5 linked regions of the Ovis aries genome follow. The protein of the gene in region 1 binds, or shares a complex with, the protein of each later gene. Links are inferred from orthologs where the notes say so. Each region holds a gene or a part of one and is shown on either strand. Other genes may lie near its edges. The genes, in order: MKS1, TMEM67, B9D1, AHI1 and TMEM107.

What was found.
Region 2: MKS1 (region 1) and TMEM67 share a complex: the UniProt entries of both Homo sapiens proteins name them as parts of the tectonic-like complex. The link is inferred for Ovis aries from reciprocal best matches to the Homo sapiens genes MKS1 and TMEM67.
Region 3: MKS1 (region 1) and B9D1 share a complex: the UniProt entries of both Homo sapiens proteins name them as parts of the tectonic-like complex. The link is inferred for Ovis aries from reciprocal best matches to the Homo sapiens genes MKS1 and B9D1.
Region 4: MKS1 (region 1) and AHI1 share a complex: the UniProt entries of both Homo sapiens proteins name them as parts of the tectonic-like complex. The link is inferred for Ovis aries from reciprocal best matches to the Homo sapiens genes MKS1 and AHI1.
Region 5: MKS1 (region 1) and TMEM107 share a complex: the UniProt entries of both Homo sapiens proteins name them as parts of the tectonic-like complex. The link is inferred for Ovis aries from reciprocal best matches to the Homo sapiens genes MKS1 and TMEM107.

Annotation. Positions count from the first base shown.
Region 1 is NC_056064.1:8,840,134-8,844,443, reverse strand, and holds the start of MKS1 (tectonic-like complex member MKS1), read left to right. Parts: upstream 1-1,391; 5' UTR 1,392-1,413; coding exon 1,414-1,493; intron 1,494-1,994; coding exon 1,995-2,104; intron 2,105-3,326; coding exon 3,327-3,394; intron 3,395-3,832; coding exon 3,833-3,988; intron 3,989-4,310. UniProt on the Homo sapiens protein: Component of the tectonic-like complex, a complex localized at the transition zone of primary cilia and acting as a barrier that prevents diffusion of transmembrane proteins between the cilia and plasma membranes.
Region 2 is NC_056062.1:83,376,849-83,380,544, reverse strand, and holds the end of TMEM67 (meckelin), read left to right. Parts: intron 1-774; coding exon 775-917; intron 918-1,856; coding exon 1,857-1,937; 3' UTR 1,938-3,029; downstream 3,030-3,696. UniProt on the Homo sapiens protein: Required for ciliary structure and function. Part of the tectonic-like complex which is required for tissue-specific ciliogenesis and may regulate ciliary membrane composition.
Region 3 is NC_056064.1:33,860,173-33,864,482, forward strand, and holds the start of B9D1 (B9 domain-containing protein 1), read left to right. Parts: upstream 1-1,322; 5' UTR 1,323-1,342; coding exon 1,343-1,405; intron 1,406-2,755; coding exon 2,756-2,824; intron 2,825-3,573; coding exon 3,574-3,685; intron 3,686-4,310. UniProt on the Homo sapiens protein: Component of the tectonic-like complex, a complex localized at the transition zone of primary cilia and acting as a barrier that prevents diffusion of transmembrane proteins between the cilia and plasma membranes.
Region 4 is NC_056061.1:60,810,986-60,815,445, reverse strand, and holds the start of AHI1 (jouberin), read left to right. Parts: upstream 1-1,534; 5' UTR 1,535-1,655; intron 1,656-4,460. UniProt on the Homo sapiens protein: Involved in vesicle trafficking and required for ciliogenesis, formation of primary non-motile cilium, and recruitment of RAB8A to the basal body of primary cilium.
Region 5 is NC_056064.1:27,637,300-27,641,523, reverse strand, and holds the start of TMEM107 (transmembrane protein 107), read left to right. Parts: upstream 1-1,424; 5' UTR 1,425-1,581; coding exon 1,582-1,668; intron 1,669-1,826; coding exon 1,827-1,894; intron 1,895-1,995; coding exon 1,996-2,096; intron 2,097-2,830; coding exon 2,831-2,927; intron 2,928-3,161; coding exon 3,162-3,231; 3' UTR 3,232-4,224. UniProt on the Homo sapiens protein: Plays a role in cilia formation and embryonic patterning. Requires for normal Sonic hedgehog (Shh) signaling in the neural tube and acts in combination with GLI2 and GLI3 to pattern ventral and intermediate neuronal cell types.

The sequences.
Region 1 (4,310 bases):
TACCTGTATAAAAACAATTTAATTATGGTTCTTAGACAAATCACCTATATTTGGATGTCATGTGATACAGTACTTTGCTTATAATTATGTCAGGTTGACTTTGCTCTAAGTTAGATTTGGTGTAAAATGAAAGTTGGTTCAGGCTCCAACTTTATCATTGGTGGTTCATATGGCAAAATGTTGCCTATTCACAATTTTAAAAGAAAAAATTAGATTTATTTTTTTTCTTAAGAACTGATATTCTGCCTTCATGGTTTCACCTGTTGAAATAATTATTACCATTTCCCAGGTTGGGAATTGTGTGCTCTTACAGAATAAATTGGTAGGTGAGGCATTGTGAAGAAAGGTGGAAGGTGTTCATGCTTCAAAAGACAGGCCTGGGCTGGAGTCTCAGCTCCTCTACCACTTACTCCAGTTCAACCTTTAAGTTCTGGCCTTCAATAACTTCATTGGCTATGAGAATAACAAATACCTACTTAAGGGATTTCTAGGAGGATTAGGGACAATATAAACAAGGAGCCCTATTAGATCTTACATAAATAGGGCTATTGTTATAGTGAGTCTTTAGCGTTATACAAGAGCAGCTTTGTTGCTGATGGCTCCCAATGCCATATAATCAAATTGGGTTCAGGGGACAAGAAGCAGCAAATGACAAAGGCTGATAACTGTTGCCATCCCCAAGGTGCCAGAGAGCCGGACTCGAGGTTACAGGTGTGTTCCGCCTTTGGCAGCCCAATGCAGAACGTCTTCAGGATGGCGTTTTATTGACTTTCTCAAGGTCAGTGCGGTATCTAAGGTGGCTTAAAAATGGGGAAATAACACATGCAGGGGAAAAACCAGTGCAATAATGACATCTTTTCCTTCCTTACTGCTAGCTTCCTTGTTTCTTTTTTCTCTGGTTCAGTGAATGCCAACGCAAGGATTAATAAATCTTCTGACGTTTTTGTTTGCTTCCAAGAAAATACTTTCACGTCTGGGTAACTGTCTTCACCTCCCGTCACTCCTCTGGGAAGAATGGGTGCATCCTGTGAGTCCCCGTTAACCGATTCTGAGGCCAAAGTGTCCCAGGATTCAGTGTAAGACTGCGATGTGGTGGGAAAAGTAGTCGCTGAGAACTCAGGACACTCGGATTTGGGGCCCACGACCATTTCTGTCCGAATCTACATAATGGGGGCCGACAGCGCTGCTTTAGTTTCCTCATTCGTCAAGCGCATCCACCCCGGCCTTGGGTGTGAGCGAGCTTTGTTCGCACTAAAGACCAGTGGCAACCCCGCAGGACCACCCCAGCCGCGATGGGCGGGGCTTCTGCCGCGCCGCCTAGGGAACCGGGTTCCAGGTTCCGGACGGCGTCTCAGTTGCCAGGGGAACCGGGGCGGTGCGCTTTCCGGCGCAGTCGTGCGCGGCGCAGCTGTCATGGCGGAGGCCATCTGGAGCAGTGACACCGGAGAGGCCGTGTACCGATCCCGGGACCCCGTGCGCAACCTCCGCCTCCGGTAGTCGCATCACCCCAGAGCCCCGTGCTTTCATGCTCTCAGATGATTGGAGCCTGAATTACACTTCTCCTTTGCTGGGGCCCTCATTTCCTTTTGCAGTACCGACCGCTGTCACCCCGGTCTCCTCGCGTTTCCCTCACTACCTGGAACCCTCTTCACTCGCAACTTCCTAGACTCACCCTTTCAGGACCCTGTTGCTGCTGCTGCTAAGTCGCTTCAGTCGTGTCCGACTCTGTGCGACCCCATAGACGGCAGCCCACCAGGCTCCCCTGTCCCTGGGATTCTCCGCCCCCCAAATTCCTCAGAGCCCTGTCTCCCTGCAATACACTCTCGCATCCTCTCCTCCCTGGGGCCCCATGCCCCCTGCCCTCCCCTCTGTTGCCTGCATCCGGCCACATCTCCTGGTAGCCATAATCTCTTCAGTGTTTTGTTCCCCATCCTTGCTGTGTCTCCTGCTTGTGTATCTTGTAACAGTATTTTGGGCCTCTCTTTTCCTGGCAGAGTCCACCTGCAAAGAATCACATCAAGCAACTACCTCCATTGCCAGCCTGCTGCCCAGCTGGGGAAGGATCTCATAGACTTGGCCACTTTTAGGCCTCACCCAACGGCCAGTGGGTGTATGGTGGTGATGCGGCCCCTTGGGGATCTGGGGAAGGGCCTAGGGCGGAGGTTACTTCTTAAGACAGAGTAGACCCAGGTCTATAGTCTGAGGTATAGAGAGGTTGGGTTTCTTGTCCAAGGTCACCGGGCTACTAACTGTTGAAATCAGAATTTGATCCCAGGCAGTTTTAACTACTACATTATGTTGTGTGAAAATTGAATTCAAGAAATGATTCCTATCATCAAGAAGCTGATCTGAACTGTGGTTAAATGTAGTGAAATAGCAAATACCGTGCTTTGGGTATATTATAAATTTACCTCTAAACCCAAATGCCATTTCTGACTTTTTTTTTTTCTTTTTTCTGAGAAAATAGCACTCCAAACTTGAAACTTAGAATATAAACACTTTTTATAAACAAGTTAAACATTTGGGTCTGCATGGTAAATGCACTTTTTTTTTTTAACCTTGCTGTGTGGCATGTGGAATCTTAATTTTCCCTGTAGCGATGGAACCCATCCTCCCTGCAAAGCAACCATGGGACTACCAGGGAAGTCCCAGAAAATGTACATATTAGTATTATCTGTGTTCTAGCCTTTTTCTTTCTCTGAGAAGCCAGAAAACTAAGAAAGAGAAGACAGTGTGTTTGTGTTAGGTCACTAGTCTCTTTGCTTTTGTTGTTTCTGTTCAGAAATATTTCTGGGTAAAAGTGTGAGCTGGTGGGTTTTGAAGCATATATCTTTGGAAAAGGCATACTCATCTAGGAGTGTACATACTGGATTTGGTTCTTAAAAAGAAATCTGTTATATGTCTTTCCTTTTCTCTCTTAATACTTGGCCTCTTAAGGTTACAGTGTTTGTGATTCTAGATTTATGGCTTCAGAAATATTGAAGATAAAAATGCCATGGTTCATAGCAAATGTAGACAATTGGGATTGAGAAAGAGCTGTTTAGCCTATATCTAAATTTCAGCTCTTGACTCTGAATTAGATTAAATAATTCCTGGAGGACGTGATTTCTTTTATTAAAGTTAGAGGGGTGATTAAAACTTCATGGGTCTTAACCTTGGCTTCTGCACATATCTACTGCCTCTCTAGAGTGAGTACATCATAATCAGTGAACTCCAACTGGTTTTGTGGCAAATATAAGAGCACAGACTTTGGTTATAACCAACCAGAGAGCAAGAAGTGGTGCTAGTTGGGCTCAAACATTTGACTCACTCTGTTTTCTTTGGAGGTGGACACCGCCCAGAGGAAGAAGAAGAGGAGGCTGTGATTGGGTGGCAAGAGAAGCTCTTCAGTCAGGTGGGCTAGTGTCCCTGTCTGCTCCATCTCCCTGCACCCTGCCCACGTCCACCTGCCTGGTCGCAGGGAAAGGTTCCTGATACATATCACCAAACTGACTTCCAGAAAGGTTACAACAGTGTATGCTTCCCACTGCTGTGTGTACGGGATCAGTGTAATGCAGTGCCTGCCACTAGCCAGTTTTATGATCTTGAGTAACATGCTTTTTACCTCTGGGCCGCATACCGAAACAGCAGAATCACTGTCTTGGTATGTCAGTTCTATAACAGCAGAATTGAGTTAGACTGTCGCTCTGGTTCCTTGTAGCTCTAACCTTCGTTGGCCTTTCTGTCCTCCATCAGTTTAGATAAAACATCATGACAAATGGTATTTGACCAAACAGTTGTAGTGACAAAATTAAAATACTCTCAGTGGAACTCTGTTTCTTTGTGACCTCAGTTTGAAGTAGATCTGTACCAAAATGAAGCCGCCTGTCAGAGCCCTTTGGATCATCAGTACCATCAAGAGATTCTGAAGCTGGAAGATTCAGGTGGCAGGAAGAACCGACGGATCTTTACCTACACTGACTCTGATAGATACACCAATTTGGAGGAGGTACCATTCTTTCCCAAGTAGACAGACTCAGGTAGACTTAGCCATGCTCTGTAGCTCCCTTCACCTTGGTTTCCCCTGGCTTTCTGGCCTCGTGTTTTAACTCAGAAGCATGTTAAGTGAGCCTGTCTAGGAATTCCCGTGTGTTTCTGGCAGCCAGGCTGGAGTAGGTAGGTGGGCACAGCCTGTGGGTGATGTGGCTGCTGCTCCCTGCCCGATCTGCTGGAGGGACTGGGGAGCCAGCAGTGTCTCTAATGCTAGGCTTGCAGACTGCACATTGCGGGGAGCAGCCACTAGGTTTGATTTCCCCCATGCATCATGAGAT
Region 2 (3,696 bases), on another chromosome or scaffold:
AACAAGGGTCCTAACTGGGTGTTCCTGGGCCACTGCATCGCTGAAGAGGCTCTGGCCCTCTCTGAAATTGTGTGCGAGAATCATATGTGTGTGCTTTCCCCACTGCCTCCTGTGAAAGGATCTGTACCTTTCATTAGAATTTTAAAAGGGTGTTCACATCCCCAAAAGGATGAACCCACCCCTGCTTGGAGAGTGAAAAGAGGTCTCAGAGCAGAACCTTGGGGAACTGTTTGAGGCATAAATTGTAACACACTCTTGTAGTCCTTGCTGGTTTTGTTTTGCCTTAAAAAAAAAAAAATTGAAGTATAGTTGATTTACAATGCTGTGTTTTTATTTACAATGCTCTGCTATACAAGAGAGTGTATTTTGCTTTTTAAATTTAATCTTATCTTTGAGAATTTTTTCTAAGATTCTTTAACCTTTAGTTATGTAAACAAATAGAGAAAGGACATTCATTATCTGATCATTGAAAAATACAGACTGTATACTTAAATTAGTAGCAGTTACCAAGCTTTTGCTGCAAATGTTAAAACTACTTTCCTTGGTTAATGTTTTAGATTAGCAAATTTAATACCCCTTGTTTGTTTATTATAAGTCATGAAATATTTTTTCTTTTTTTTAAATTCAAGTATAATTGACATATAATAGCCATGGAGTATTATAGTAACTAGTTATTTTAAATATTCAAGTTTTATCACCAGAAATTTATCACATTTATTATTCTATTTTTAAATTTCTAATTTATATCTTCTTAATTGCCTTTTTTTAAAATAGATGAAGGATATTCTTTCAGCAATGTTCTGTATTATGGAAATGAAGCTACTCTTCTTATTTATGATCTGATGTTCTTCTGTGTTGTGGATTTGGCTTGCCAAAATTTTGTTTTAGCAGCCTTCCTTACATATCTACAACAAGAGGTAAATTTAAGAATTTTTTGTGGATTTCTTTGAAGAGAAATATGTGGGAAGTGGATATTTATTTTTATTGCAGAGAGTATCAGTGTCTACTTACACTCAGAATTTATAGAGATTTAGAATTTGATTAGCCCTGCCAAAGAAAGGAAAAACATTTCAACCAAGTTCATTTTACACTCTCCTTCAGAGTCACTGAAATACCAAGGACTTGTGGAGGGCATAAGTTGCTTGACCAAATGTGAAAGAAATCCAGTAGGAAGACACTTAAGTTACCTTTCTCTCTTAGATGCCAGCATTGAGCAGAATTAGAATCCCATTTACCATCTGCACCAATGTTACCATTACAAAAGGCAAACTCTGAGATCTAGCTCAGGGCTCAGCCAGTATAACTTTCAATTCACATATCACCTACCTGCTTGGATGAAAAAACAGCTGCGTGGATTAGTGTGGAACCTGAAATGGAGACTTCAAGAAAAGCCAAGTTTGTTCTAGAAATGTTAGCATTCGTATCACCGACATATTCCCCACTTAGGTCAAAGTAGTGTATGAATTAGTGGTATGATGAGTTAGTTCTTGATAGAGATCTAGAATTAGGAACACATTTTGTTCCTGACAGTTCTTTTGATATTTCCATAGATTTTAGAGCTAGGGGAAACTTGTCTTGCCAAATATTTCAAAGTATATTCCTATGAACATAAGGGGATTTGTATTAATTTATTAAAACATATTCTGAATAGGGACATACACTGCTTCAGTATTATGAAAGATGATAGTCTTGAAATAGTTTTGTATATCACCATGGAATTCAGGTGTCTGCTACATGAAAATAGCTGCAAGAATTGGCTAGTTTAATTTAGATATTTTAACTGACATTCACATTTGATTTCCTTTATATGTATTTTCCCTCTGAATTGTTTTTACTTTTCTTTTTTTTTTTTTCAGATTTTTAGATTTATTCGTAATGCAGTAGGACAGAAGAATTTGGCATCCAAAACACTGGTGGATCAAAGATTCCTGATTTAATTTATTGAGTAGATAAGGACAATTATAATCATGGCCAAAAAAAAGGTCATGATTATCAAGTCAGTTTGCTATATTTTTTAAAACTTGTAATACAAATTATTCTATTTTTATTTGTTTTTTAATCTACAGGAAGATTTATTTTTATAACTCATAGAGACATAAACTTGCTTTGTGAATATGTAATATGATACAATGAACAATATTGTTTTCCTGTTATGCATGGTATTTAATTCACCAGCTCATAAACTAGATAGCTCTGACAATGGGACCAAAAAAAAAAGTCTAAATTGCTTTCAGCATAACATTTTTTAAATGATAATCAAAACAGTCCCCATCATTTGTGTCTATAAGATTATTTTATAACTAGATTTGTGTATATTTTCTCACATTGAAAAAAAAATTGATTCCAGTTCAAGCCTAGTTTTCAGTTCATTTTGTTTTACGTATTTTATGGTTAAATAAATGTTGAAAATATTTTCAAGTTTACTTAGATATTTGAAATTGTATGTGGGCTGACTCAGTTGCTCACTCTGGCAGTGAACTGATTCACTACTGGATTAATAGGCAGTTTGTGAAGTGGTACACTCTCATTCCTTTGTTTCCCTGAAGTATGCTGTTTCTATGAAGTGTATTTATATCTATAATATATAAATATCACTTATATTATTGAGCTGTAATATGTGACATTTTCCCCGATAGTTTTTTATACATTTTAATTACTCAACATTTTAAAAGCACTTCCAAACATTTGCTCTTCAATTGTGTTTAAAGATTATAAATAACAAATGAACTGTAAGTTATCATGTTATGTGAAAGTGGTTTATTGAAAGCGAACTTAGGCCTGAGCCACATAGCCAATAATTCTGCATGATATCATTTTTTTTCAAAGTACTCTTTAATAATCCTTTTTATTGTATACTGTGAACTTGAAAGTCACCTTTTATTCAAGTATAATGGTCATTAATGCCCAAAGCAACATTTTTTTCTGCCTTCTGGTTAATGCTATGTAAATACTTAAATGTATTGCTATGTAAATATTGTTTATCTTACCAAATTGAAAATATAGAATAAAGCATATTATTAGTGTTTCTCTTTCCTGTTTGATTTAGTATGTATTTTGTGAAGTAGCATTTAGGAATACACTACTGAATCTGGTGTCCCCAGCCATTGCTGAAGCCGAATCCTTTAAAAGCGTTACCAGAACCTTGAGGATGACTGAGGAGAAAGAGGGGAGGCTAATAAGTTGAGGATCTGAAATTCTGCTTTCTTAAGGGTCGGCGTACAGAGATGCCTTTCTAAAAGGCTCAGAGATAAGTAAACATACCAGCCTGGATTTGTAAAGCCACCTACTCAGAAGCTTATGAAAAAAATAACAACTCTCATTCCACATATGAGAAGTTAATATTCATGTGAATGTTTCTAAGTGGAAATTTTAAAACACAGGTCAGTTGGCTCATCTGCTGATAAATTAAGGCAGAGAAAAGACATTTGAAGTAGTTTTGCACAGTACTATTTTTACTTTGGTGAGGTATATAAGAGTGCGCTCGGGTTTTCCTGTATTGTTGACTGCTGTGTTCATATTGCAGGATTTAAACTTTGGGATCACGTGCTTAATTCTCTGCTAGACCTGTAGTCTTTTGTCCGTTTCTGTAACACCAACCCACTGTGCGTGCGTGCTCAGTCGCTCAGTCACGTCCAGCTCTTTTGCCAGGCTCATTTGTCCACGGGATTATCCAGGCAAGAATACTGGAGTGGGTTG
Region 3 (4,310 bases), about 25 Mb from region 1:
ATCCTGTTTTGTCCCCTTCTTCTCCCGCCTTCAGTCTTTCTCAGCATCAGGGTCTTTTTCAATGAGTCAGTTCTTCACATCAGGTGGTCAAAGTATCAGAGTTTCAGCTTCAGCATCATTCCTTCCAGGAATATTCAGGACTGATTTCCTTTAGGATGGACTAGTTGGATCTCTTTGTTGTCCGAGGCACTCTCAAGAGTCTTTTCCAACACCATACTTCAAAAGCATCAATTCTTTAGCACTCAGCCTTCTTTATGATCCAACTCTCACATCCTCCATACATGACTACTGGAAAAACCATAGCTTTGATAATGAGCAACGGAGACGTATTCACACTCCAGTACTCTTGCCTGGAAAATCCCATGGACGGGGTAGCCTGGTAGGCTGCAGTCCATGGGGTCGCTACCAGTCAGACACGATTGAGCGACTTCACTTTCACTTTTCACTTTCATGCATTGGAGAAGGAAATGGCAACCCACTCCAGTGTTCTTGCCTGGAGAATCCCAGGGACGGGGGAGCCTGATGGGCTGCCGTCTATGGGGTCGCACAGAGTCGGACACGACTGAAGCGACTTAGCAGAGTTGGCAGCTAGTACAGCAGACGTACTCAATTATCCATCCACTCCACTAGCTGCCACCAGTGCTCAGGCAACCGGGACACGGGGGTGGCCCAGACCCGGTGTTCGTGGCGTAGGGCTCAGGGGAGAGGCGGCACTGGCTGGAGCTATCACAGTAATCGATGTGCAAAAGCGAACAGTGGGGAGCGCTGAGAGCAGGCGGACGGCCGAGCCCCGCGGGCTCGCCCCTCCCCGCCGGCAAGGTGCCGGGGCGGCCACTCAGAGGCCCGTTTTCCCGCGTCACGCGGAGACCTGCAGTCTTGGGCTTAAGGACCTTCCAGGTCCCTTCTCGGTTGGTCTAATAAACTTTTGGGAGGCGAGGGTCTCAAAGGCACGAGGGAGCATCTGTAGACCCGAGGCAGGGAGCTGCTGGCCCCACGGGGACTCTCGGAAGCGCGGCCGGACCCCGCCCCTTGGCGGCCTCGGGCTCCAGTCACACACTCCAACCGGCAGCGCGGTGGTCAGAGCGGACACACATTCCCGGGCGGTGGCCTAGGTCCCGCACCACCAGCTACATTCACGCGGGGTTCCTCGGGCGGACCGCCCCTCAGACGGACCAGGCGGCTGAGGCCCGCCTCCCACCGCACAGCGCCGCTCCGACTGCGCTTGCGCGCCGCGCCTTGTGCGCGTTTTCCCGAAGCTCCCGCTTCCATGAAACTTGTCCCGTGCGCCACGCCGTCGTCTCCAGGGCAACCCGGCGCCTCCTAGTAACCGCGCGGCCCGGCTATGGCGGCCGCGGGCCCCAGCGTGTTCCTGCTCATGGTCAACGGGCAGGTGGAGAGCGCCCAGGTGAGCGGCCGTGAGTCCTCCAGGGTCGAACCTCGGGGGAGGGAGCTAGCGTGACAGGCTTGGCGAGAGATCGCGCGGACCCTCCGCCACGAAGTGCGGTGGGGAAAAAGGCCTGGAGCGTTGAGCCAGGCCGAGGCCACAGTTGGCCGAGCCCACGTGAAGATTCGGGCAGGGGCCTCCATCCACCCCGCGACCCTCAGCTCCTCCCTCCGGCGCGGGTTGGTCTGACACAGCGATGGTGGCAGCTGTCCTGACCCGGAGGCTGTGTCTGTCCGACGGAAGGGGACAGTGCTTTCCAGTCCCCTGCATGTCCTAAGAACCGTTTGTTACTACTGGAAGACATGACATATGACAGTCTTCATGCCCAGCCCCGCTCAGCCAGTCCTCACAACAACCATTTGAAGTAGGTATTACTTGCACCCCCATTTTACAGATGGGAAGTTGCCCAAAGGAAGTGGCAAAACGAATTTCAAACCTTGTCTGATGTCAAAGCTTTGCTGGACTTGCCTTTCCAGGCTGTTTTAAAAATATTATGATTATATTGTGAGTACTAACCAAGGTGGTCTAGGTAAAGCTCCGTGGGATCTCTTAGCGGGCATCTCCCGCCTTCCTGTTTCATCAGGGTCACTGCCCCATGCCCCCACCCTGTCCACCTCCCCTTGGCCTGGTGCCTAAGGCCAGCCTCTCCTGTTCTGCTTTATCCCAGCAGGGGCCTCAGCTGGGCTGGGTCAGTGTGCCTGTGTTCTCAGCAGCCCCTCATCCCCACTCTTCCTCCCCTCTGCTCGAGGCCACTCTGCAGGCCATTGGCTCCCACCAAGCTTTGTGTCCTGGGAGCACCTGTCTTCTAGACCTTTCACTTCAGCATCACTCCTTAGTGCCCACCCTGTGCCAGGTGCTAGGGACACAGAAAGCCCACATACCTGTCCCTTGTTCACAGTCTAATGGAGCTGAGAGAATAAACATGGTCAGTGCTGTGATGGAGCACCAGGGGCTGTGGAAGCTGGGATGTGGCTCCAACAACCTGGAAGTCGGCAGGCTCCCCAAAGTGTCAGTTTTGAAGGGTGAGCAGGAGTACTCCCAGTGAAGGCATTCCTTCACTTCTCATTAGAAGGGCACGTCATACAGATGTCAGAGCCTGAGCAAAAGCCTGGGGGCAGCACTGTCCCTGGACTATCCCACATCTTGAGACCAGACCTTCCAATGAACTCCGTATCCATGCACCCTGCTCTCTCAGCCCCCGCCCCCTAGGTGCCTCATGTTCAGAGTTGCTGGTGGCTGTACCTGCCTAGCTAACAGGTGGTCACAGCATGAGTCCCTGTGAGCAGAAGCTGTGTGTGCTTATTTCCACAGTTTCCTGAGTACGACGACCTCTACTGCAAGTACTGTTTCGTGTATGGCCAGGACTGGGCCCCCACAGCGGTAAGCTGGACCCTACAGCCTCCCAGACTCACAGCTTTTGTGACTGAAGGGGTTTCTGAAGGCTCCATTGCACCCTTTCCCCTCCCAATTCAGAACCAGTTAAGAGTTCAGGGGTGGCACACACGTGAGTTTGTTCCCAGTGAGGCCGGAGCAGAGAATGCAGAGATCCCTGATCCACCCCTAAGACTGTGGTCGCTCCTGGGCCCTGCCCTGCAGCGAACAAAGCCAGACCAGCCCAGCTCTGCTGGGGCCACTTGCCTGAGAGGGAGACAGACTCACGCTCCAGGCTGTTGGCTAGTAGCGGTGCTGAGGGGAAAGTGAAGGCAGGAAGGGGAGGGATGAAGAGGCCAGAAAAGGCCTCCTTAAGACAGTTTAAAAAAAAAAAAAAAAAGATGGTAACTGAGCGTAGAGCTGAAGGAAGCAGGGGGATGGGCCAAGTAGAAGGCTGTAGAATAAACTAGCCAGGCAGAAAGACAGGGGAGAGGGCAACAGCCTGCTGGACCATACCCTATTCCGCAGGAGGTGCAGGTGGAGCTTGGGCACCGGGAGAGGGGAGGGGCCTCAAGGTTTCAGGTCCTAATGGATAGAAACCCTCAAAGACCTGGGAGCCACTCTGTCACATCTTAGGTCCCTTTGTTTGGCAGAAGATGGTGATGAAAACAGCTCTCAGCTGCCACCTCAGAGGTAGGGTGGGTGGGCATGGCAGCCTGGAGCTGGGACACTGGCCGTCACTGTCATTGTCCTTGCAGGGGCTGGAGGAGGGCATCTCACAGATCACCTCCAAGAGCCAAGATGCGAGGCGGGCGCTGGTGTGGAACTTCCCCATCGATGTCACCTTTAAGAGCACCAACCCTTACGGCTGTGAGTCTGCAGGCCTCGTCCTGCCCATCCATGGGGCCCTCTACCAGCCTTGTCAGGTGCTATCAGACACCTGGCTGTTTTCCCCTCCTTCCCACTGTGTGCACTTGACCTTTCCGAGGTTCTGAGGAAGTCGGTGAAGCCCAGCGTGAAACCTTGGGCAGTGACTGCCTGCGAAGGTCAGAGCCTGGTGTCTGGGGCTCAGCAGTCTGGCCCCTCAACAGCTCTCCCCCGTCCATCACCACTGTGCTCCCGCCAGTCCCGACCCCCCTGCTCCTCCTCCAACACCCTGCCCTGAGCCAGGGGTAGGCCCTTCTCTCTGCCATGGGCACCGAGCCCTCATCCTACCTCTGATCTCCCAAAGTTCTCCTTGCCAATATCTGCAGGGTTTGTTGTCCACTGTACCTGGTCGTCTGTGATCACTCTCACTTAATGAATGTTAGCTGCGTGCAGAGCCTAGCTTGCTCCACAGAGTTGTGCGTGCTTTCCACGCGTGGGCTTGGCTGAGCTGTGAGATACTATCGAGAAGGCAGGCTTCTCTCCACCTTTTCTCCTGTTTAGGAAACCAAGACTCAAAACAGTGGCATCATTTGCCTCAGCTTCACCTTGAGTAGCTGAGCACGGATCT
Region 4 (4,460 bases), on another chromosome or scaffold:
AGGATTCTTCAAGGAGACAGGACAGCATGTGCAAGAACTAGGGCATGAAAGAGTATGAATTATCTTGCGTGGTACACACAATTCAATATAAATTGAAGCATGACTGAAACAAGGCAATGAGAGATGAAACTAGTCAGGTAGATCGTGTGTCTTTTATTCTAGGCAGAGTAACACAACTTTCTTCTACCGATCATCTTTGAACAATTTCCAGGACAGTGGTATCAAATTCACATTTTCAGTGAGGTCAGTATGACAGCAGCGTGGAGACTGGAATTCAGGGATCAAAACTGGAGTCAAGGGACTGGTAATGAGGCCATCTCACAACATTCCCAATGAGAAGTGATAAAGCTGAACAGAAGGCAGTGGGAGTTAAGATGGACAGATCTTACCCTGGGAATGTTAGAAATGTAGAATGGACATGATTTGATGTTAAAAGCCATTTGGAAGGATCTACAGGGATTTAACTAGAAAACTGGGAGGATAAAGCCAAGATAGAGACCTGGAAAGAGAATTAAATTTTAAGTGGAAAGATGGGGATCTACTGGGTTGGTTAAAATTTATCACTAACTTCTCACAGGATTTGGAGAAACAAATGAGATATGCTTTGAAGTGTGTAGAGAGGCAAATGCGAATGGAAAAGCTGGACTCCAAATAAATATGCATAATACTCTTACCACACGAAGCAACAGGTTTTAGTGTGACTGCAACTGCAGGAAATGCAAGAGTCCTGGAGTGACTTGACTAGTATTTTTCCATCCCTGGTGACTCAGAGCTAGAGATGGCGCCTGTGGCAAAAATTAGAACGTGGGAGGGGGCACTGGGTGTAGCAGAAGATGACCTTTTGGGGGTTGCTGTTCTGTTTTAAACACATAGTTATCTCACTATAACTGTGATAACTCAGCCCCAGATGAATAATTTTTTTCCCTAAGATTTGATCTGTGGTACAATTCTGTATTCTTCACGCTTAAAAGGATGTTTCATTTCGTGGGCACGATCGCGTGGGGGAGGGTGGTGGTGGTGGTGGCTTGACAAGTGTATTTCTTTGCATCATTCATGTTTCTTTGCCTTGGCGGGTTCCACGACAGCGTTCGTCTGGCTTTGCCCCCTGCCGTTTTTCCCAGAGCTGGCTACAGTTCTGAAGAGCAGAGAGCTTCTTCCGGGTGACAGACCGGACGGTAGCAAGCTCCGAGAAGCACCTGCGTATTCCCAGGGTTCCTTCCAGCTCCAAGGGGAACAGATTCCCTTTCGCGGCCCGCACGGGCCCGAGGAGTCCAACGCGCAGCCCCCGAGCGCGCGCCCCACCATAATCTGAGGGCGCGCGCGCGCCGCCTCCGCCTACGCCACACAGCAGCGCCTCCAGACCCCGGAGAAGGCGGGGCTGCGGGAGGGGCGGAGCCACGGTGGGGCGCCGAGGCCGGCCGAGGTCCAAAAGGAGAGCCGGGCCCGCATCGGTTGTCATGGGGACGGCGCCGTAGGCAGGCGCTGACGTCGGCTGGAGGCGCGCTGCCAGCCCTGCGGCACCCGGCGGGTACTCAGAGTCTGGGAGGCGGGCGGCTGGGGTGGCTGGGTGGCTATCTCACTCCCAGCCCGCCCCGCACGGTCCGGGTGGTGGCTCCCTAGGGACCCGTTGTCGGCAGTTCTGCGCCCTCTTCTGTGTGAGTAACCTGCAGGCTGGTGGTGGCGGGATCCCGGGCCCGGGAACTCGGCCTGCCCTGCCCTCTCTGGGGACAGCAGCGTGGAGGGCTGCTCAGATCCGAGGGCGTGGGGGCGGTGGGCCCAGCAGGGCGGACGGGGGCCGCGAAGCGCCACTGCAATCTGACCGGCCCAGCGCCGCGGAGTGGAGAGATGTGGTTTTGAGAGTTACCTCTGCGTACTTACTTTTTTTCTCTTGTTCTGGGCGGATCTTCTCCGGAGCGTTGAGCGTGTTGTCCTGAAAGAGTGAATGCAGTCTTTGCCTTTCCTATTCCTGATTCTGGTTTCAGTTCAGTTCAGTCGCTCAGTCGTGTCCGACTCTTTGCGACCCCATGAATCGCAGCACGCCAGGCCTCCCTGTCCCTCACCAACTCCCGGAGATCACTCAGACTCACGTCCATCGAGCCATCTCATCCTCTGTCGTCCCCTTCTCCTCCTGCCCCGAATCCCTCCCAGCATCAGGGTCTTTTCCAGTGAGTCAACTCTTCGCATGAGGGGCCAAAGTACTGGAGTTTCAGCTTTAGCATTATTCCTTCCAAAGAACACCCAGGACTGATCTCCTTTAGGATGGATTCTGGTTTAACAGCATACATTTAAATCAGATGCTACATTTATTTCCTTTTAGGGTGTCATCTTGGTGCTGAATCTTGAACCTGTGAAATGCCTTAATTACATCTGAGAAAGGGTGATCGATCTGTTACGTTTCTAAGAGTCTAGCTACATTAATAGGGTTATTTCAATATGTATACAAATAAAAGGAAATATATACTATTTAGGAATCTCTTCCAAATGGCTGTGCTACTTTTCAGCATTACTATAAAAACATCTACTGATTGGAGTATATGACTTTTCCTTCTTCTGAGAGAAGGATACTAACAGTTTTTTCACTTGTTGCATTTGTGATTGCTGTTACTGCTTGGTCTTATGGAAGAAGATTGCTTGTTATGAGGACTCTGTGAACTTAAAAAGTATATATGAAAGAAATTTAAATGCCCAAAATTTTTCATTGTATTTATAATCTTACATATTTATAAATACTATCTTGATTTATTGATTGAATATGTATACGGGTTTTTGTTTCCTTTTTTCCCATGCTGTAAAATTCAGTAAGGAGTGAATCATCCAAGCCTCTGCCTGTTTTTTCCTTGATCTTTAGTCATTTATTGGCTGATAATGAGGTGTTTAGAGAAAAAATAAAATGAGATGAAATGTAACAGTTTGTTTTCCTATTTTGTATTAATGTTTCTTAGCAGGTCCTGTTAAAGGGATTATGAGGGAGAAGTTTTTAAATATAATGACATATATGAAGTTCACAATTTCTTTTTAAGTTTGACCTTAATTTTCCTTGATGATCTTACTTATCAAATATAAGTCATTATTTAAGGTATTTGCTATAGTACACATTACTGCTTAGAGATGATTATTTCTGTAATGTATTTGCTGTGTTCATCATTGAATAATATTAGTGTTTACTAATTGGATTGTACATTAGACTATTAAATAATAGTAAATAATATAAATACATAATTATGTTTTGTCTATCACATAATTGTCTGTTTTTGCCTGGAGAATCCCTGGGACGGGGGGAGCCTCGTGGGCTGCCATCTATGGGGTCGCACAGAGTCGGACACGACTGAAGTGACTTAGCAGCAATGCTATAATAATCACATAAAGTAATGGGCCATCCACTGTGCTGGTCACTTTTCCTTTTCAGTATTTCCTCTTCTCCTTATAATAAAGGAGGTGCCATTTTCATTTACCAGGCAAAAAAAAAGAAGCCTTAGTGAGATTAAGTAGCTTGCCCAAAGCCATACATTCAGTAATTATCAAAACAAGAGCTTATGCCTGACTCATTTTGACCCTATTACTGCCCCACCCCCTTTTAAAATGGGAATACAAAGATGAAGAGAGCATAGGCCTAGCCCTCTCACAGCTAGCAGTTTGGTTGGGGAGGGGTGGGTAGTTTATCAGAGTGAAAATTCAGGAAGCAGAAGGAGGAATGAAGATCAAGGCACTTCGAGAGCACAGTGTAGACCACTTCTTTCTTGAAACTCTTTTTCCTTTGGTTACTGCTCCCAGTTTTTCATTTTCTGCCTGATGTCTTTTAGTTTATTTTGTGGGCCCCAAATTTTCTTTTCAGCATTTTTTTCTTGCAATCATCACAAATATAAATAATGCCCAAATTTTCATCCTCTGTCTCATCACTGGATTGCTATATTCTGTTGTCTACTTAACATAAATGGATTATATGTATATGTATCTCCATCCTTACACACACCCACATATATATATATATATATATAGTAATAGCTATCATTTTTGAAGAGCTTGCCATACTGTAGGCATTGTGCTAAGTGTTTTACTTGCATATTCTTATTTAATCTTTATAGTACCCGATAAGTCATTTATTACTATTATTCTCTTTTGAAAGATGAGGAATTGAGGTTCAAAGAGATTAATCTACTGACAGGTAGAACCGGGAATCTAACAATAGAGCTAGTGCTTGTAGCTGCTTAATATCCATCAGGTATCAGCCCAGCATGTCCCACCAAGTTCACTGAGTGTCCCTGTAAGAAATATCTATTATAGTTGTGGCTAATGTTGATGTCTGTTCTGAGGCACTCTTTTAGCGTTTTAATCATTTAACTCTTAACAATAGTCCTCTGAATAGTTGCCCTTTGACTTTACAGATAAGGAAACAAATTGCCCAGCCCAACTCTTTGGTGGCTCAGAGGTTAAAGCATCTGCCTGGAATGTGGGAGACCAGG
Region 5 (4,224 bases), about 19 Mb from region 1:
AGATATAGGGAAGTCATTCTGGCTTAAACATTACACAACTTGAATTTATCCTAACTAAAATAGCCTGTTTGTGGTCTATCAAACACACGCTGTACATCTGCTTTAATTATTTAAAGGAAAGGGCACGCTGACCAGAAGTAAAAAATGCCCATGTTAAAAATAAAGATTAAACGCCCCTCTTCCTGGGACACCTTCGATGTGATTATGAGAGATATTTTCCAAGTGCCAAGGCCATGCTGACCTGCTGTGTATTAATCATCTGGTCCTTAAAAAAGAAAAAAAAAAAAAAAGAAGAAGAAGAAATGTAACCCTGACTTGTATAAAGTTCTTTGTTCTTACAAGATGCAAAACTGCACTGAAAAAGATGCTTCGCTGGGGCAGTTTCTCAGAGTAATCGGGGAAAGGAGCTTCCAGGCTACTCCTTAGTTTGGCTCAAATAAAACTCTTTTCTATTCTTATTATGGATTATCCATTATTATTCTTGGGAGATGATCTGGTAAGAGGGTGGGGGGGGGAGCCTGGAAGTTGTGACTTGACTGTTAGCCGTGAACTCCGGCGAGAACTTTCCGTTCTACAGGAATCACCTTTAAGGTCCGAAGGTCCGTGAGGTCCCAATCGTGAGAAATGCTTGGACTATAGCTGGGCAAAGAGACTCTGCTGGTCACACCTCCAAGAGATAAGGAAATCGTAGACTCTGAATTTCCGCCTTCGACTCTTGCCTCCCAGGGACGCGGGGTTTCATTCTCTTCCTCCACTCCCTTTTCTGGTCCCGTACGTCCACTTCCTTCCCGCAACACGCCTCTCATCCACACCCTAGTTCAGGAGAGGGGCTCTTTTCTGTACTCTGCAAATCCCTCACCAATCTGAGCGAGCTGGGTGGGTGGTTGGGTGGGGAATCAGAATCAAGGAAAGTTCAGGTATACGGTCCGCCAACAACCAGGGGCTCCAGGACAATAAAGGGGCATCCACCTCTCCAAGTTCGGCCTAGGTCAAGGAGAAGCTACACGGATGCGGGGGATGGAAGAAAAGACAGTGTCCAGGGCTCGGGCATGTTGACGCCCTAAGGCTGGAGTGGTGGTGACTGTGGTGTCTGGAGGATCATCTTGGGCAAAGTAGCAGGGGCTGGGGGCCAGGCCGCTCCCGGCATGGGGATACAGGGAGGAGCGAGTGTCCGAATTTCCGTTCGCCAGTGCTGTGTGGGCAGACTCGGCAATGGGGGGCCGCGCCACAACACACTCTCAGGCTGTGCAGACAACTCATCTGCACGCGGGAAGGCCGGCAGCTCGATTCTCCGCATCCGGTCGGGATCTGCACAGGTATTGTGGACCCGGAACAAAGTTTCCCAGAGGCCCGGAGGCGGCGCGATAATTTGCCGCTCTCGCGAGACTTTCAGAGGTCCCGTCGGAGCCATCGTTTTTGCGGTTACTAAGGCAACTGAGCGGTGCCAGCGTAAGCGGGAAAGCGGCGTACGTCGAATTTTTGTCTGCTAGCTTGGGAGACTTGAGGAGTGACCCTCCTTGAGCTTCCAGCCCCAGAGACAAACGGCCTCTGCTCCAGGCGGTACCTCTTCCCCTGGGAACCATGGGCCGGATCTCAGGGCTCGTGCCCTCTCGCTTTCTGACGCTCCTGGCGCATCTGGTGGTCGTCATCACCTTATTCTGGTCCAGGGTAAGACCCAGGGCCCTCTTCTCGTTCCTCCTTCCAATTTGGGGTGGTCCCAGCCCCACTCCACCCTTTCTCTCCCGGGGCCTTACACGGTGGGGTCTTCCCATATCCAGCCGCCAGACCCTCTTTCAACTTCTGTTTCTTTCTGCCCTGCTCCCTAGGACAGCAACATCCAGGCCTGCCTGCCTCTCAGATTCACCCCTGAAGAGTATGAGAAGCAGGACATTCAGTGAGCATGTGGGACAGGGTGGGCAGAATTAGGCAGTAGAGGGAGTGAAGGGGTCTTAGAAAAAGTTCAGAAGGCCTAAGCCACTTCCTTCTTTTCTGCAGGCTGGTGGCAGCGCTCTCTGTCACCCTAGCTCTCTTTGCAGTGGAGCTGGCTGGTTTCTTCTTAGGAGTTTCCATGTTCAACAGCACCCAGAGCCTCATCTGTATCCTTTCTACGTGTACTCCTTTCCTCCTCGCCCTTGTCCACCATAACGCCCTTCAGCCACTTAACTAGGCCTTTCTGGCACAATGGCGTTTGCTCTAGCAGGCAAACAGAATCCCTCCTGTGGAGAGATGTTAGGCAATGTGGAAGATTTAATACAATCTCTGATCACTTTTTGAGCTCCTGCTACTCACCAGGCACTGGAGATCTCAAGATGAGAGTACAACAGTTTTCTATCTTGAGGAAGAGGCAGATACACAGACATCTGCAATTCAGTGTGATAAGCACGGGTGCCATCAGATGTTAAGATACAAAGCACTATGGGAATGCCGAAGAGACAAAGGAAGTGAGGAAGATGGATCAGGGAAGGCTCTCAACACCAGGGTACTGGAGAGTGATCCCAGCAGTGTATTGTGTCACTGTGAGCATGTCTGTGTGCTTGGAGTAGATCAGGAGTCTACTACTTCACCTGAAGGATCCAAACTAGATATGGGATGGAGGTAGCTTGGTTTCCCAACAGGGCAGGCTCAGCTCTGGCCTCTACACATGGCCATCCTAAAACCCAAAAATCTGGGCTGCTGGCTCTGGCCTTTGCAGTGTGGTAAAGGGAGCAAGAGATGCCTTGCTCACCAGGAGCTGATTGTGAATGCAGATGCCAGGCCCATCACCGGCCTTTTCTGGCTCATCACTACCTGTTGACCCAAAGGCTTTCCTTGACTCTGGTGTATTCCCAAGCCATCGGGGCTCACTGTAGTGCATCTGTGGCCCTATCCTTCTTCATATTTGAGCGTTGGGAGTGCACCATGTATTGGTACATTTTTGTCTTTTGCAGGTATGGTAGCACCTAATGTTTGAGGATGGGGAAGGGAGGTTTACTTTAAATCTGAAGATTCCCCTACCCAGCCCTTTGTTCCATGTGTAACATACCAGATCCACTCAACATTCCCGAGTCTTTTTGAAGTCCTCCACTCCTACACTTCAGGGGGTCGGGGGGTGGGATCGCTGGCTTGGGGATCTGGGTATTTTTATTAGAAGAAACTCTGAACCCATCACCTGCCTTCCTCAGTGCCCTCCCGGCTGTCACCGAAATAACATTATTCATCAGCGTCTTTGGCCTGAAAAAGAAACCTTTCTGATATCTTCGTGACTGGAAGTAGGGATGAAGGCTGAAGGAGCGAAGGACTACTCACCCTTCCTGGAAGAGGGAGGCTTCAGCCCTCCTTCTAACACTGCGTTTGGTGAACGATGTCAGTGTTAGGGTAATTATCTCTCAAGTCTGGGATTATCTGTGTTTTGTTTACAGTCCTTTGTAATAAAATATATTTTAGGGTAAGATCAAACTTACAGGAATTCCTGCAGGAATTCCCTGGCTGTCCAGTGGTTAGGACCCCACGCCTCCACTGCAGCGGGTTCAGTCCCTGGTGGAGCAACCAAGATCCTGAATGCTAGGCAGCGTGGCCAAAAAAAAGAAAAAGAAAAAAATCAAGACAAAAATTTCAGGAGAAAATTGGGGTGGCCAAACTACTATAGAAACGGAAGGCTGTTTTCCAGCCTTGCACTGTAAGACCCTAAATGTCGCTTCTATTCTAGTTATTACGGTAGATTTCTGACGGAAGGGAGTGGGCGGAGATATGTAAATAAGGTTATACTTTAGTACCTCGAGCTCTTAAAGTGAGTGAAGCATTCTGGGAGGGATTAGCGTTTGCTTTTTGACAGCCAAATGGAAAAATTTATTTTAAAACATCTGCAAATAAATTGAACAACAGAAGTGGAAGAACCTGGATAGCTTTAGATGGCTCGAACTAACATGTCGTTTACTCACCCTACCTGTTAGCGGAGTCTTATTACCGGAGTACGGAATATTGCAGTCCTCTCGGTATCGTCAGGTAGGATAATCCTTACCTGTTCCTCCTTTTGGAGGGCAGAATAGAACATGATGATTGGAGCTCGCATGATTCGTGATTAACGGCTCTGCGTAATCAGGACTTGCAACACCCTGATTGCTCCTATCTGATTCTTCCTGGCGATCCGTGATGTTAATGTACTTTACGATTAGATTGAGTTTTTAGTACTGTCTCCTTAGTTGTACTTGAAGTAGCGTCGGGCACGACTGAGCGACTTCGCTTTCA